Arabidopsis thaliana: one gene and its partners. The protein of the gene in region 2 interacts with the protein of the main gene of each other region in a biochemical or structural test. Each region holds a gene or a part of one and is shown on either strand. Other genes may lie near its edges.

Region 1 (3,754 bases), about 14 Mb from region 2:
TTGATGCCTTGCCAGGTCCCTCGACAGCCAATCTTTCCTTAACATCTCTGCATCAGAAAAGATAATACTTCAAGTCAAAAGTTATTTTTTCAATGTTAATATCAAAACCTCTGAGATAAGCAGAACTGAAAAGTATGACATTACCAGTAATGAATATAAAAATCCATACCTTAACACATCGGCAATTGTCTCATCTTCTGGGGAAACTTCATGGGCCTTGCTTAGATCAGAGACGGCATCCTTATAGTTTAAGAGAGTGAATGAGCATTGAGCAAACATATAGTCAGGACATATCTACAGTACAAACATATATATCGACAAGGAATCTCAAGAAAGTTCCATAAGCAACAGAAGAACTCACTTCAAACAAGCCCAAATCTCTGTAAGCTTGACCCCTTCTGTATAGGGCTTTGACATTCCTTGCATCATATCCCAAAACCTGAAATAATGTAAGAATGTAAATTTATCAGAAGAATGTCGAAACAGTTTTGAATAGATCATAAAACGCTGTATGACATCATGTGTTACATCTACAAAAAAGAAGCCAAAAGATTGCCATCTCTCTTTTTCCTAAAAATGTTTTCATCTATGAGTTTTCAGAAAATTAAGAGCATAAAGAATATACCTCAGAACCTTCCTTTATGCACTCTTCATGCTGATTCGTCTTCAAATAACACGACATTAGATTGAGAGAACAAGCCAACAAAATTGCTCCACCTTTAGAAGATGGAATCTCTTTCAGATTGTTCTTCGCCTGAGATATGGTCCAAGAGCATTGTAAACAAGTAGAAAAGAATCGCATATCAGGTTACAAATAAAACTCTTCTTGTCAAGTAGCATGACAAATGAGATACGTCTGCAGACTTACACGCAAGTATTTCTCTGCGGCATCGCTGAAATTTCCTCGGCTATGAAGCTCGTTTCCCTGCCAAACGTAGTAGAAAATGAGATTAACATCAAATTACACAAAGGTCCACTTGCTGAAGCCATTCTTGTTCCTTACTTTATAATCAGGAAAGCAAAATTCAATAGAAAACTTCTCTCAGGAAGTCAATTGTTACCTGTTTTTTAAGCATCTGAGCTGCATTGATCTGATAAGTAAATTGAGCATCAGCATGAGCACGCATAGCTGCAATATCTTCAGGGGAAGCTTTAGCCATCTTCTCGCTAATCTCAGCCATATCTTCAGGCCGAGTATGCTTAAGCTGTTCCGCAGCTTGTTTCAAATCTTCAGGCCTCATGTTCTTCATACTCTCTGTTGCCATATTCATCAAATCTGGATTTGACATCATCTGTATAATAAACAATGGTATAAATTCATCATACAAAGCCATAATCAAATCAAATCAAACAAATTCTCCTCAGAATCGATCGAATAATTCGAATCAGGAAAAATAACGAAACCTGTTGTTGGATCCTAGCGAAATCAGCAGGAGTCATACGACTCATCTGATCTTGAGCGAGCCGAATCATCTCAGGATCCATTAACCCGTTAAACATCGTGTTTTTTTTTCTCGAAGCTTCGATGTGGTTCTCTGTAATCAGATCGGAAACACAGAAAATCGAAATTCGCCAGAGAAGGATAAGCTCGGAATCTGGATCGAGATTGAGTTTGTGAGAATCGGAAAATCGAAGGAGAATTGTTTTGCCGACCCGAAAGTAGTTTCCAATAATATAGAATCGAATTGGAAAATTTATCGCTCAACCTCCTCAATTCACCGACCGGAATATGCCTGGATGATGGAGAATGACTGTTTTACCCTTGATCTACGATGATGCTGTGACGTGCCATAATAAATTAATTTACGTAATTGTATTGATTAACGTAACTATATGATTACGTGCAAATTGTCATGTCCTTGTCCATGTTGGAAGACTAATCTCGTGTTTTTTTTCTTCTTAAACTGAAACGAATCTCTTGTTAAACTCTTTTTTATTTCGTTTTAGAAAGAGTCGTCCAATTTAACTGTTACACGTGTTAAAGTGTCAATAAAATTCAATTTAAATTTGTTTGAGGGTACAAATAATTTTTTGATATTTTAAAATTCTTTAGGGTCTGGATATCGATATCATATGTTTGCCCAGCTACATCTCCATGATATAAGCTCCGAATGGTGATTGCGTTTTGCGGTGCGGGAGAAGTACGGTGCGGTTCAAATAGTAACGAAAATATATAGATACATATGAATATGTAGAGATTTTAATACTGTTACAGTACTGTTGCGGTGCGGTTTTAAGTGCGGTTTTGATTACCATTCAGAGCCATAATATATTTGTTGGAATCCAAAAATGTTTAGTATTCAGTTTCATAGACTCAATCTCTAAAGTAATCCATTTATTAAACTTTAAAATATGCATGTCTTCTGCAGAATTTTTAGTATCTTAAATATCAAAATGATCTTAACAAAAAAATACATATGTACAACTATTCGGGCAAAGAATTTTATTTCAATACGACAATCTTTTCAGTTGTTGAACGAGTTTTAGTGTTTTGACCATACAAAGAAAAAAGACGAGTTTTAGTGACATATAAGTTGTGTTTGGTAATACTTTTTTCAATATTGTTTCGATATAGTTTCATCGACGAGTACATCTATCAATTAATTTTTCTGAAATGTTTATTTCTCTCCACCGCAGCATAAATGTTTCAATGTTTGAAAGAATGGAAACGGTGGTATAGTCACATTAGAAGAGGACCACTTTGACTAAAGCTAGCTACAACTCTCATCTATCTCTCGTCTCCCAATTTTTCAATATTAGCAGAGATTATGATTCACTAAATGATAGCAGTCTGAGAGAAGTGAATGTTGATATGATTTATGATTATCAATTAACTAATCACTAAGTACTATTGCAGCGAGAACGAGGAAATTCTAGCAAACCTCTTCTTCTTGGTCACAATGAAACCAATGGATTAATAAAGTTATATCATATAACAAACAAGAAGGAAACAATATCTTCAACTTATAATTAATAAAGCAATATTGCTAAAGCATTCTGATACATGTTGTGCAACATCTCTCGAAGCTAGATTACAACATGCATGTGCTTCTAAATAGATTACAACAAAGCAACTTTTTAACATGTTTACACGAACCAAAATATGCATACACATATATAGCCTTGATTTTATAATTCACATAGCCCTTGTTATCCTTTAGAATACATCGTAGACACATTCTTACGTATTCTACTATTATATGGCAAAGCAATCTAGGATAATGAGTGAGTTGTATTTTTTGAATGTACCCTCTATTGTACAATGAAAACGAATGTAAATATTCAGTTTTGTTTTTGTTGCCCACATTTTATTGCCGTAAATTGCAAACTATTTTTTTAAAATTGATATGCTAGGGAAAAAATGAGTTAAAGAGCATGATGGAGGAAACAGAAAGAAGAAGGCTTTGAATTTTGATGGTTGTCGGGACGTGGAGAGGATCTCACGTGGCAGTTTCACTCTGATTGGGTCCTAAACCGCCGGCCCACGTGGCATGCCACTTGTCACTGGTACTTCTCTTTCTCTCTTTCACAGCAGCAAGTTGTGTACGATTGCTGTTCTTATTAGGATCCGTCACATCACTTCTCAGCCGGTCAGCCCCCACCTTCCTCCATTAACCCATCAATCCGGTCTTTCGTTTTTGTGTGTATGTTCTGTGGACTTGATTGGTAATTTGGTAACATTTACCATTTGAATGGTTGCTTACTAGCCTAACTTTTTGTTTACAAATGTGCAAAGAAGTTTTTTTTTTTTCTT
Region 2 (3,754 bases):
CACGAGAGATGTTGAGTGGCAAGTCATCAGAGTCAACAACACCTTTCACAAAGCTGAGGTACTCTGGGATTAGCTCTTCACAGTTGTCCATAATGAACACCCTCCTGACATAAAGCTTGATGTTGTTCAACTTCTTCCTCGTGTCAAAGAGATCAAACGGAGCTCTCTTTGGTACAAAGAGAATGGCCTTGAATTCTAGCTGACCCTCCACTGAGAAGTGTTTCACGGCTAAGTGATCTTCCCAGTCATTGGTCAAGCTCTTGTAGAAAGCAGCATACTCTTCCTTAGTGATCTCTTCTGGCTTCCTCAACCAGATCGGTTTCTGCTTGTTGATGAGTTCCCACTCGTGAGAGACTTCCTTGATTTTCTTCTTCTTTTTACCATCTTTCTCCTTCTCCTCATCAACTTCTTCAACCTCACCTTCGTTTTCTTTCTTTGGTTCATCTTCATCCTCATCGTCACTGATCTCCTTCTCGGTGGTTTTCTCGGTCCAAAGGTAGATAGGGTAACTGATGAACTCAGAGTGCTTCTTCACCAAGTCTTTGAGTCTCCTCTCCTCCAAGTATTCAAGCTGCATGAATAAACACACTTGTAAGAACACAGAAAACACCAAAAGAAAAGAAACAATCCCCAAAACACTCAAAGCTACGATTCCTTACCTGATCGTCCTTAAGGAAGAGGGTGATCTTAGTTCCTCTACCAAGTGGTTCCCCATCCACATCCCTAGTGACAGTGAAGGAACCACCAGCTTGAGACTCCCAAACGTATTGTTCATCATCATTGTGCTTTGTAGTGACAACAACCTTCTCTGCAACAAGATAAGCAGAGTAGAAACCAACACCAAATTGTCCTATCATGCTTACATCAGCTCCAGCTTGAAGCGCCTCCATAAACTCTTTTGTTCCAGACCTCGCAATGGTTCCCAAGTTGTTCACCAAATCTGAAAAAATAATAGAGAGTCATAACCACAGCACATACACTAAAACATCTCACCAACGAGAGATTATTAGGCATTGATTCGTTACCTGCTTTGGTCATGCCAATACCACTGTCAATAATTGAGAGCGTCTTATTAGACTTGTCAGGAACCAATCTAATGAAGAGTTCAGGCTGTCCATCGAGCTTGCTCTTATCCGTTAAGCTCTCAAATCGGATCTTGTCAAGAGCCTACAAAACCATTCATATAAACAAAGATAATCAGAAGCTTTCCTCAATCCTCTAGGGTAAATCAAAGACTACATCGAAGCAAGAACCGTTCTATATATGTAACTACAACACATGAAGATCGAGCACAAGCTAAGAATTCTAAACTTAACGTGATGCACAAGCCAAATCACGATTTATTTGAATAAGCAATCACAACGCTAAACCTACGAATCCAACGCTATCAACGAATCCAGGAATTAAAGAACAAACAACATGCAAGAAAATAGGAAGCGGACGAGTCACACCGAGCAGAGAGAGATTTGAAGGGAAACTTACATCAGAAGAGTTACTGATGAGCTCACGGAGGAAGATTTCTTTGTTGCTGTAGAACGTGTTGATGATCAAGCTAAGAAGCTGGTTAATCTCAGCTTGGAAAGCAAAAGTCTCTGCATCAGCCATCTGAACATCCGCCATCGCAACGAACTTTGATTCAACGCAAACGAGAAACGAAAGAGAATGCTAAGAGAAAATTTGGAACTTCGAGAGCGTTTCGAGAGATTTGTGATTGTTTTGTTGATTTATGAAGAAGAGAGGAAAAAACAAAGTGATTTTATAGAGGAGAAATAAAGTTCTAGTCTCTTCTTTTGAAATAAAGGAAAACCAGTGATTTCTGGATTGTTCTTTGAAAACGACGCCGTATTTCGATGAAATCAACCGTTTTTAGCTTTGTGAGCAAACGAATTCCAGAAAGTTCTTTTCGTTTCGAGACTCCACTTGTTTCAATTCCGAATAGGTCTGGCAAAGAAATTTCGCCGGTTCAGTGTGAACTGAATGAAATTATGGTTAAATATAAACCAACTCTCATTTGTCTTCTTCACCAATAGTCATTACAAGAACACTTGCCATCTTCAAACCGATGAAACCGATTATTATCTCTCACAATGATCACTCGTCTCGTACATACGGACATGAACTTGATCGCGTTATGGCAATCACCGCAAACACGCAGATTCTTCATTACTCGGATCGGTCTATCAGCTGGAAACGTGATCAGTCCAAAAGCAATAGCTAATCTCTCACTATGATACCTTATGGTTTGATTCTTCTCGTCACCATCCACTTCTCTCAGAACATAGCTTGTGTCTGCAATGTAACCCGCTTTCTCCATCTCTTCCCCTAACTCAGCCAGCTTCTCATATATCTCCTTGCTTTTCTCATGACGTCTTTCTCCAGCTGCAAATGTATGAACCTTGTTCCTTTCTTCAACCCAACTTAGCCCTGTTTCCTTCTTTTCCCCTCGGTCTCGAAGCAATTTTCTAGCTTTAGCTGCGTCTTCGAATCTACCATCGGCTGCATAAGCATTGGATAACGAAATGTGCATACCGGAACTCACTGGTCCTAATTCGAAGACCTTGTCTGCTGCAAATGCTGCAAGCTCTGTGTTCTTGTGGACTGTACAACTCGTTAATAAAGCTCCCCATACAGATTCCGTGGGATCAATCGGCATATTAGTGATAACTTCAAGTGCTTCTTGTAATCTACCAGCTCGTCCTAACATATCCACCAAGGAAGCGTAATGCTTATCCGTCGGCTCAATCCTCGATTCTTTCATCTGATCAAAGTAGTATCTCCCTTCATCAACTAGACCCGCGTGACTACAAGCATTGAGCACATTCAAAAAAGTTATGAAATTTGGTTTCATTCCAGAAAGCTTCATCCTTTTGAACAATTCAATAACCTTTTGAGTATGTGAATGTTGCGCATACGCCTTGAGCATAGCGTTCCAAATCCCGAGATTCTTCACAGGCACCTCGTTAAAAACTTGATAAGCTCCTTCAGGAACACCACACTTTGAATACAACGAGACTAAAGAACTTCCCACAAAGCTAGAAGAATCAAAGCTAGACTTAATACTCAATCCATGAATCTGTCTACCTAACTCAAGTAGAGTCGAATTTGCACAAACACTAATAACACTCGAAAACGAGTAATCATTAACAGCGAGATTCTCAAACAAAGCTTCTTTAAACAACCACAAAGCTTCCTCATTTTCACCCATTTGTGCATACCCATACATCATCCCACTCCAAGTAACAACATTTCTCTGAGGCATTTCGTCGAACATCTTCCTCGCATAAACAATTTCTCCACATTTCGCATACATATCAACCAAAGAACTCCCCACAAACACATCAGCATCATACCCAGTCTTCATCGATAGACAATGAACTGATCTACCAATATCACAACGACTCAAAATCGCACACGACTTTGTAGCTGATGGAAGAACATGATCATCAGGTCTAAGGTTTCCCGCCATCATTTTTTTAAGAAACTCGAGTGACATCCATGGAAGCTCGTTCTGGGCAAAACAAGAGATGATTGAACTCCAAGTCGTCGAACTTTTTTGTGGGCTATCTTCAAAAGCTCGACGAGAATCAAACGGAAGCTGTGATTTGGAGTAGAAATTAATGAGGTTGTTAGCGACGAGAGGGATAAGAGAAAGGCCTGATTTAACGACATAGCCATGAAGCTGAAGTCCTTTAATAGTTGATCTGGTTCGAGCTGAAGAAAGAAGAAGATCACAGATTTGATTGTAATTGTGACA
Region 3 (3,754 bases), 350 kb from region 2:
ATTTAACCATTACATATATCTGTCAACTGAAAGGTTCTATAACAAATCTAAAATAGAATTCCATATGATAAGAAGAACATGAAAACACAATTAGAAAAGATGATTAATCTTTGAATCGAAAATCTCAGGAAAAAAAATATATCAGACCGCCGGATCAGGGCTGCTGCTATGCCATCCTTTAGTGCAAGGAGGTATTTCCATGAACTCGTCGAACTCCTTCACGTGAACATCGCAACATTTCCACTACACAAAGAAAACAGTGATATTCAATAGAAATTCAAACAGTGAAAGAAAAGGGTCACAAAATGATTGAACAAAGAACGTGTTACCCCTCTCAGTCTGTCGTGGAAGACCGCAGGACCTGGATGATGGCTACATGCAGTCTCATGATTGTCTCTCTCTTTGAATGTTTGGCCACATCCTTTGTTTTTGCAGACTTGCGGTTGATTAATGTCTATCACAGCCTTTTGTACTGGAGGCGCTAAGGGTTCAATTTTTTCTTCTTCTGCTTGTCCCGGTGTGTTCAGGGTCTGCTTGATCTGTTCTTTGGGTTGGGATCCTGTGTGGTAAAGAAGGACACAAAATTAGATAGAAGGTCATGCATGTAACCAATGTGCAACGAGAATTTAAAGACGAGAGAATAAAGATACAAACCATGGTCTGAGCAGAAGAAGCCTTGCCGGCATCTGGAGCAAGAGTCTTTTGTTGCTGCATTGGCATCTGGAGATGAAGTAGGAGCCGCAACAGGATGTTTTGGAACCGATTTGGCCAGAACTGGTTTCTCAGTTGTGTGTTTACCTGTTTTACATCTTCATTGCAAGAAACATCTTCAGTGTTTGCAATCAACTACAATATGTACCATGAAAGACAGAGGAATTATTATGAGGGGGTACAAGGATATTAGTTACCCTGGAATTTCCAAGAACAAACTGAAATCATGACTTCTTTGCTTGCAGCAGCTCCACTCTTTCATTCCGTCGTGAAAAAATGGCTGCAAGTTTGAACTTTGGTAGCTTTAATTCTCTGAGCAAGCGAGTGTGAAACAAAAAAAAAAACATAAAACAGTATTTGAAGAGTAAATTTGACTTACTCCCTGCTTGAACAAAAACCAGTAGTCAGTGCAAAGACCAGCCCCAGCCACACCGGAAAAAGAAAAGATAATAAAAGAAGATGAATTACAATAAAAAGCTCAAAGCAATAGATGAATATGAAAGAAACACTAGTATACAAGGCCAAATGTTAAGATGAATATTGAGATAAAGCCTTCTTTCTATACACAATTGTTCTAATTACACTTCCAGGGACAGTCTTAACGAGCTCTCTCCCTCACATAGCCATAACCGGTGGCAAAAGTTGGAAGCAAACAATTCAAAAGTCGCTGCATGTACGTACACTCTCCCTCACATAGCCATAAACGGTGGCAAAAGATCTAATACTTGGATTATTCAATTTTACGCAATATACTTTTGCTTTCTTCCATCAAGTGTTCTAATAAGCTCACAGTCTCACAGAATTCATAGGTTGCAAGCAAACAACTTAGTTAAAATTTGACAATTAGACAATCAAAGCTGTGTTCAAAGCTTACTTACTTACAACTAAATGAAATCTACATGTAATCAATCAGCTAATCCAAAACCTAATTAAACACTTGCGTAATCATCTTCTCATGATCAAAAATCGAAATTCGTAACCTCACATCATAAAATCAAATTCAAAAGCTACTCTATGGGTTTATCAGAAACTATCGAAGACTTAGAAAAGAAAGAGAAGAATCGATTAAAGATGGGGAGAGAAGAAGACGTACGGAAGCATGAAATTGACAAGAACCTTGAGGATTGTCGTCATCGGTGAACATGGCGTTGCAGCCAATACGTTGGCACTGAAGCTTCTTCGTTGCAGATCCTACTTCCATTATCTCTCTCGTGAATTTGTGAAGAAATCGGACGAATTGAGAAGGTAGGAGTAAAAAGTATTGGGAAATCAAATTAAAGGGCTTTTTCGTCTTTTAGAAAATTTTGACTTTTGAGTTTTGACCGGTAATGAAAACTGATGAGTAAAACGGGCCTCGGCCCAAATAATACCATGCAGAGCGGGCTTGGTCCGCTTGGACATTATTTTCATGTCCATAAAATAGCATGCGTGATGGATAATAAGCCAATATGTTACAGATTACAGGTTTTTAAAGAGTTTTATCCACGGATTTGTAGGTCTAACCCACAAGAGGAAAAATATGTTGAATGATGGGAGTGTTATTTTATAGACCTAAGCAAGTGATTTAAATGTCGGACCTATTTTGATGTTTTTGCAAAGTTTGTGCAAAACTAATCTTAATTATTTTGTTTTTCTATTTGTATATATTTCCGTCTCCAAGTTTGCTTGTATGGCCTATCCCCAAACTTCATCTACTACGTGGAAAGCCATGACTCCGGAAAATTCAATCTCCGTAATGGTGATAAGAATGGTAGATTTGCTATTTAACCAGCTGATACAGGAAACTCAACAATCTCACAAATGAAATCGAACTATAGATTGAAACGATGTTCATAAAACGCAGATTCACTTCTCACTATGCAAAAATCTCACATTAAGATTTGCCCGTAAATAAATAATATTAGTGAATTGAAGGAAGTATCTCAAACTAACAATGAGTAACAACCCCAAACACACAAGAAAGGAAGAAGAAGAAAAGTTTACAATTCTCAGATTTTTGCATAATGAAGAAGACGATGAACAACTTGATCTTAAGCTTGAGCAACTTCAGCTCATACCAATCGAATCCACGTATCTTTTCTTATTTCAACCAATCACTAAGCTCCACGTGTCCTCATATATGTGCTACTAAATTCCTATTTCACCAGCCTCTTACTTCATTCCACCTCAATCCTTTTCTATACTTTGATGTCATTGTTCTTCTAAGGAGGGTTCTTTTTTGTTATTTTTGTTGTGCATTGCAATGGATTTATACCTCTAAATTCATCTAGTTGTTGCTCGCACTTTAGATATGTGGAGTTTGAGCACACAATTATAGAACTCTGTGGTTTCTATTGAGATTCTTATTTGTGATGAACATTAAAGAAACAACAGCATATAAGGCTAATATCGTTACAACGTTTACACCAAGTAAAACAAGCTATAAGCGCTTGAACTACACAAGAAGGTAGTGAATACTAAATATATACGATATTACAAAAAATAAAGAGTTAAGAAAATACAAAAAGCAAGTCTTGGATCTGATTTGGTCAGTTTCAAATGTTTTTTCTGCCTCCTAGTTGAGTATATCGGATCAAAATCTGTTTTTTCTTCTTAAATCTTCAGTCAATGTACAAAAGAGAGATCACTTGGTTCTGTTATGTACTTCTATCAATGATGCTTTCTCCTGCAAACTCTACAAACAAAACTCTCAGTCACGACCTCACAAGTCAGTTTCCTATAATCAATACATCTATTTTCATTTTTATGTCATGTCTTATCTCAGTTCTTAAATATAAATAGATCTGGAAAAGAGAATGACCTCGTTCGGAGAACTGTTCTCAGAAGGGAACCATCGAAGCAGGACACCGAGGTTCATTGCACTCGGTATTAACTTGAATAGCAACGGAGTCGTTACCTGTAACAGCATTTTCAGGTAATCAGTTTTGAACTAAATATTATTTTAAGTATGTTCTCTTAGAATGGAAAAGGCTTGTTTGCATATATTAGGTAACTTACGAGACTTAGAGCAGTTGTGCCCAAAAGGAGTAGATACATTTTCCCC

What was found.
Region 1: the proteins of HSP90.1 (region 2) and TPR7 form a complex in vitro, tested with the Arabidopsis thaliana proteins (one study listed by BioGRID).
Region 3: the proteins of HSP90.1 (region 2) and PBS2 form a complex in vitro, tested with the Arabidopsis thaliana proteins (one study listed by BioGRID).

The regions. Positions count from the first base shown.
Region 1 is NC_003076.8:7,271,141-7,274,894, reverse strand, and holds the start of TPR7 (Tetratricopeptide repeat (TPR)-like superfamily protein), read right to left. Parts: upstream 1,825-3,754; 5' UTR 1,501-1,824; coding exon 1,405-1,500; intron 1,293-1,404; coding exon 1,062-1,292; intron 926-1,061; coding exon 869-925; intron 755-868; coding exon 626-754; intron 440-625; coding exon 362-439; intron 241-361; coding exon 170-240; intron 48-169; coding exon 1-47. UniProt on the Arabidopsis thaliana protein: Plays a role in protein import into the endoplasmic reticulum (ER). May function as chaperone docking protein during post-translational protein translocation into the ER. Chaperone receptor mediating Hsp70-dependent protein targeting to chloroplasts.
Region 2 is NC_003076.8:21,350,408-21,354,161, reverse strand, and holds the start of HSP90.1 (heat shock-like protein), read right to left. Parts: upstream 1,606-3,754; coding exon 1,483-1,605; intron 1,168-1,482; coding exon 1,026-1,167; intron 941-1,025; coding exon 660-940; intron 572-659; coding exon 1-571. Other genes in the region: MEF1 (mitochondrial RNAediting factor 1), read right to left, coding at 2,021-3,754. UniProt on the Arabidopsis thaliana protein: Functions as a holding molecular chaperone (holdase) which stabilizes unfolding protein intermediates and rapidly releases them in an active form once stress has abated.
Region 3 is NC_003076.8:21,001,232-21,004,985, forward strand, and holds the start of PBS2 (cysteine and histidine-rich domain-containing protein RAR1), read right to left. Parts: upstream 2,056-3,754; 5' UTR 1,913-2,055; coding exon 1,805-1,912; exon of another isoform or gene 1,094-1,804; coding exon 1,091-1,093; intron 992-1,090; coding exon 909-991; intron 810-908; coding exon 655-809; intron 560-654; coding exon 330-559; intron 244-329; coding exon 142-243; 3' UTR 1-141. Other genes in the region: KEA5 (K+ efflux antiporter 5), read right to left, coding at 3,335-3,385, 3,512-3,607, 3,709-3,753.